2 linked regions of the Macaca mulatta genome follow. The protein of the gene in region 1 binds, or shares a complex with, the protein of each later gene. Links are inferred from orthologs where the notes say so. Each region holds a gene or a part of one and is shown in the gene's direction. Other genes may lie near its edges.

Region 1 (3,500 bases):
AGTCCTTACAATGTCCTGTGTTTTCCCAGTAATTCCACTTCTGAAGTGACCAGACATTATCACGGGTCTTATTTCCCATTTCCAGTGCTCCAGGTATGGGGGAGGGGGGATTGCCACAGCAAGTCGCCAACCCGCCCAAATCCAGGGCTAAGCAGATACTATGTATCACAAAACTTACTCTGCCGTTAGACATGTTTTCAAAGAATTTTTGAAGAATGTTTAATGGCACAAAACGTTTATTTCAATGTAGCAGTGTTCAAAGCTGGATGTAAAAGAACGCAGCCCAGGGAGCCCGCTGTGGATGTCACGTGTGTTCGTCTTTGGACACGGATGTACACGGGCAGTGAGTGGTGGCAGGGCCCTGGAGGACGTCGGTGGGATGCCTCCATCCTGCCCCTCTGGAGATACCCTGTGTGTGCCACGTGCACTCACTGGAGCCCTCTTTAGCTGGCGCCACCTGGCTCTTCCATCCATGAGATTCAAACACAGTGAGATTCCCCATGCCCGACTCAGTGTTCTCCCACAGAGAAGCTGAGTCACACCCGTGTCCGCTCGAGGGACGCCTGGGAGTCAGGGCTCCATAGTTTATTATGTATTTTTGGCCGAGTTATGTGCAGATCTCATCAGGGCAGATGATGAGTGCACACACACGGCCGTGCAAGGCTTGGATACACTCAACATCACTAGCCACGTCCTGGTGGAGTCTGGCCATGCAGGGTCCGGATGGCGTGTAGCGTTTTGAGTCCACGGAGAGAGCACCCAACTCCCTCAGGCTACAGCGCGTGCCCCAGGCAGGACAAGGAAGCAGGAGGAAGGCAGGAGGCTCTTTGGAGCAAGCTTTGCAGGAGGGGGCTGGGTGTGGGGCAGGCACCCGTGTCTGACGTCCCCCCTGTGTCTCAGCTACGCCCGGACCTCCATCAGAGCCAGTCTCACCTTCAACCGCGGCTTCAAGGCCGGGAGGAACATGCGTCGCAAACTCTTTGGGGTCTTGCGGCTGAAGTGTCACAGCCTGTTTCTGGATTTGCAGGTGAGCAGGCTGACGGTCAGCACAGAGTTCAGAGTTCGAGAGGCATGTGTGTTACTGTGTGCACGCATGTGTACGTGTGTGTGTGCGTGCCTGCAAGGCTGACGGTGACTGGCTGCACATAAGAGTGCACATGTGCGCAGATGCACGCGAGCCATACGTGTGTGTGTACATGAAGGCATGGCAGTGTGTGCACAGGTGTGCAAGGGCACAAGTATGAATGTGCACATGCAAATGCATACCTGACGTGCATGTGTGTTCATGTGCATTCGTGTGGGATTCATGTGAGGTGCATGCGTGTGGGTGTGTGGTGTGAGTAGCATGTGTGCACATAACCTGTATCAAGGGCCCCCTCATGTTCACCCTGCTAGGTTCTCAGCACCAGCGCCCCTCCTTACAGGGTGAGATGGGGTGGATCCCCACAGGAGAGGGGGAGTGGACGCCCACAGGAGAGGGGAGTGGACATGGACGCCCACAGGAGAGGGGAGTGGACACGGACGCCCACAGGAGAGGGGAGTGGACACGGACGCCCACAGGAGAGGGGAGTGGACACGGACGCCCACAGGAGAGGGGGAGTGGACGTGGACGCCCACAGGAGAGGGGGAGTGGACACGGACGCCCACAGGAGAGGGGGAGTGGACGCCCACAGGAGAGGGGAGTGGATGCAAATGCCCACAGGAGAGGGGGAGTGGACGCCCACAGGAGAGGGGAGTGAACACCCACAGGAGAGGGAGTGGACGCAGATGTCCAGACGGGACAATGCTCTCAGGACTGCAACTTCAGAGCCACAGCCCACTGGGGCCTGGGACCCTGTCTCACCCTGTAAGGCGGGGTGCTGGTGCTGAGGACCTATCAGGGTGAACATGAGGGGCCCTCGATACAGATTATGTGCACACATGCTACTCACACTGCACACCTACATGCATGCACCTCACGTGAATGCCGCATGACTGCACACGAACACATGCATGTCAGGTATACATTTGCGTGTGCACATTCATACTTGTGCCCTTGCACACCTGTGTGCACACTGCCATGCCTTCACTCCCCCTCTCCTGTGAGGGTCCACATCCACTTCCCCTCTCCTGTGGGCGTCCACTCCCCTCTCCTGTGGGCATCTGTGTCCACTCCCCTCTCCTGTGGGCATCTGTGTCCACTCCCCTCTCCTGTGGGCATCTGCTTTCACTCCCCTCTCCTGTGGGCATCTGTGTCCACTCCTCTCTCCTGTGGGCATCTGTGTCCACTCCCCTCTCCTGTGGGCATCTGCGTTCACTCCCTCTCCTGGTGCCTTCCCTTTTTGGCCAAGCCTCGGAGGCAGGCAGACGACAGGGAGTCCTGACTCCCCCAGGGTGGTTGACAGCTGCCGGGTGAGGGTCAGGCCGGATTTCACTGGGGAGAGGGATGGTTTCTTGTCAAAATGTTCCTCTTTCTTGTGCCATCTGAATGGATGATAAAGTAAAAAGTAAAAACTTAAAATCCCAGAGAGGTTTCTGCCGTTTCTCTCTTTCCTGGCGATTCTAGGTGAACAGCCTCCAGACAGTGTGCACCAACGTCTACAAGATCCTCCTCCTGCAGGCCTACAGGTGAGCCGCCACCAAGGGGGCGCAGGCCCAGCCTCCAGGGACCCGCCGCGCTCTGCTCGCCTCTGACTGGGGGCTACACCTGGGTTTTAGGGGCAGGGAGTGTCTTATGTTTTCAGCGGTGCTGCTGCCTCTGCCCTGTTCTGTGTTCGCGTGGCTCTGTGCAAAGCGCCTGGTCTCCGTCTCTGGGTAGTGCTAGGAACCGACGTGGCCCCAGGTGTCCCCGCTGTGCCTGTGCACTGACTGTGGGACCTCATGGAGGCCAACCCAGGGCAGGAGGGGCATGGAGTAAAGAGATGTTTGTGGGGAGTCTTAGCAGAGGAGGCCGGGAAGGTGTCTGAACAGTAGGTGGGAGATCAGACACCGGGAGGATTTGGGGTCTCAGAGAGCAAAGAGGGCCGAGGTGGGTGCAGATGAGGGTTGCTGTCCCCACCCCCGGGAAGGTGCAGCAGAGCTGTGGCTCCCCACACAGCCCGGCTGGCACCTGTGCTCCGGGCATGGCTGTGCTCCTGGAACATTCCCTGTCATGGCTGGTCAGGGGGCCCCCCTGTCAAGAATCAACAACTTTATCACAAAAGAAAGGGCCAATCTGTGGAGGCCACAAGGCCAGCTTCTGCCTGGCGTCAGGGCAGGTGGTGGCACAAACCTCTGGGCTGTACCAAATGGTAGTCGGGCACCACAGGCCCGGGCCTCCACCTGAACAGGCCTCCCGAGCCACTGGGAGCCGAGTGCCAGGAGTCCGAAGCCCTCGCCCCATGAGGGCTGAGAATGAGTGTGAGAATTTGTGTTACCCAGGGCCAGGGCCGGGGCTGAGGCCGTGCACACTTGATGTGAAACGAGGTCGTCTATCGTGGGAACCCAGCAAGGGCTCACGGGAGAGATTTTCCGTTACAAGG
Region 2 (2,256 bases), on another chromosome or scaffold:
CTTGCAGTCGTGAAAGAAACAGCTTCTCTGGGCCTTTCCATCCCCAAGCCCCATGCTGCTGCTGTGCTGCTCCTCTCTGCCTGCCTCAAGGCTTCTTGGATTTGGGGGATGAGACTGTCTTCAAATCCTCAGTAAACTAAAGCCCTGTCCGGGTTTGTAGTCACAAAACGTCCTGTTGGATTCAGTTGGGATCTTTCTCGGTGCCTCACTACCTTTTGACTCACTGAACCTTTCTTGTCCGTTATTGCCCAATATCTAACACTTAACCAATTGCTTTCATCTCAGCGGAAGCGAGAGAGTGAGAGTGAAAGTGACGAGACCCCTCCAGCAGCTCCTCAGTTGATCAAGAAGGAAAAGAAGAAGAGTAAGAAGGACAAGAAGGCCAAGGCTGGTCTGGAGAGCGGGGCCGAGCCTGGAGATGGGGTGTGTGGAGATATGTTCAGGTTCCTTGGGCTGGCTTAGTCCCTCCATGGGGAAAGAATTACCCAGGTGGTACCAGCTTTGTTACTCTTCTTGGAGGAGCTGTGGCCTGGGGGTGGCATGCGACTGAGTGCCTTTAGTGCTTCCCCATGTTCCTGGACTGCTTTTGCCCTCCCTGTGGAATGGACAGATAGAGGTACTCGGCATCTACCACTTACACTTACAGCTCTATTGATGGTGGGGTGGAGAGGATGTGTAGGATGGTGATCTGAATGTTTCTACTTCCAAAAGTAGACCACTAGGGTGTCACTGAAAGGTTCGCAGAACTTTGTGTCACATGTAGTATTTAACCCAAAATATCCTTACAGGTCCTGAAAAAAGGCTTGCTTGACTGTGGACCTTTACCAGATTTCCTTCTGGGAGAGTGATAGCTTTGTTAGTGGATCCCATGGTATCTATAAGCTTTCATTCTCTTTCTTTCTAGGACAGTGATACCACCAAGAAGAAGAAGAAGAAGAAGAAAGCAAAAGAGGTAGAATTGGTTTCTGAGTAGTGAAGGCCACTTGAAGCATTGTGTCCAGCTGGAGGAGAAACTAAAGCCTTATTAAGAAAACATGTTATAGATCCTTTTGTTGCTGAGAGAGTGGAACATAGGTCCTAGACAGGGTGAAGAGTTCCGGCACATTTTAGCTGCTACTTTGAGACCTCGGTGATGTTACCTGGTGTGGTCATCCCATCTTGTCCTGTTTTAAGGATATGGGTGATGAAAGAGGCAGAGTTTATCCCAATGACTTCTCGGTTTGAGCCTCACCTTCAGACCCAGTAACTGTCCGCAGCTGTCTGCTAGTGGTTGTCTTAACATCATAGTCCTAGTTTGCATTTTTTTATCCCCTCTGTTTATAAGGTTTGTAAAACAAAACAAAACAAAAAACTAAGTCTGCTCAGTGAAATGGTGTAGAACCGTAAATAAGTGATAGAAGAGTGTCACTGAATTTTGTCTCTGAATTCAGTATAACTGAGTTTTGTCCATGCTGGTGTCTGATGGGCCTGGTAGTTTTCCATCTTGTTCTGGCCTAGAGGTCAGTCCTTTGCACTTCCTCAAAGCTTCTGTACAGTGTTCACCTAAATCCATCTGACTACTTGTTCCTGTGCCGTCTTGTTTTAGGCCTCGTTTACTTTTAAAGAATGAAATTGTTCATTGCTGGGAGAAGAATGTTGTAATTTTTACTTATTAAAGTCAATTTGTTAAGTTTTTAATGTATTCCTGTTGGGTTTTCTTGTTGGTGATCTCATGCTAGCAGAGCAAAAATTGTAAAATATTTTGATTAAAAATCTAGGGACCTTTATGTTCTATTTGAAGTGTGATGCTTTTATGTTTTCTGGTTTTTACATTTTCGTTCTGTATCTTACACAGTTCACCTTGGGCCCTGTCATCTGATGTGAGTACTCAGAGGCAGTGATTACCACAAAACCAGTGATCTGTAGAAGAACAGAGGAGAGGGTTGATGTATTTATACATAGTGGGCCTGGCAGGAGGGAGGCAGGGTGAGTCGGGAGAAGGAAGCTGAAAGTTAGGGACATTCAGGAATCTGAAGGCCTTGGTGACAGATTAGTGGAAGAAAGGTCTAGGGTTGCTTCCAATTTGGTATTAAGAGCCAAGAAAGAGGCCGGGTGTGGTGGCTTACACCTGTAATCCCATCAACTTTGGGAGGCTGAGGCGGGCAGATCACCTGAGGTCAGGAGTTTGAGACCAGCCTGGTTAACATGGCAAAACCCATCTCTACTAAAAATACAAAAATTAGCCAGGTGTGCTGGTGTGCACCTGTAATCCCAGCT

Evidence for each region.
Region 2: TERT (region 1) and DKC1 share a complex: the UniProt entries of both Homo sapiens proteins name them as parts of the telomerase holoenzyme complex. The link is inferred for Macaca mulatta from reciprocal best matches to the Homo sapiens genes TERT and DKC1.

The regions. Positions count from the first base shown.
Region 1 is NC_133411.1:2,381,513-2,385,012, reverse strand, and holds part of TERT (telomerase reverse transcriptase), read left to right. Parts: intron 1-900; coding exon 901-1,027; intron 1,028-2,545; coding exon 2,546-2,607; intron 2,608-3,500. UniProt on the Homo sapiens protein: Telomerase is a ribonucleoprotein enzyme essential for the replication of chromosome termini in most eukaryotes. Active in progenitor and cancer cells. Inactive, or very low activity, in normal somatic cells.
Region 2 is NC_133426.1:161,068,573-161,070,828, forward strand, and holds the end of DKC1 (H/ACA ribonucleoprotein complex subunit DKC1), read left to right. Parts: intron 1-285; coding exon 286-423; intron 424-904; coding exon 905-973; 3' UTR 974-1,756; downstream 1,757-2,256.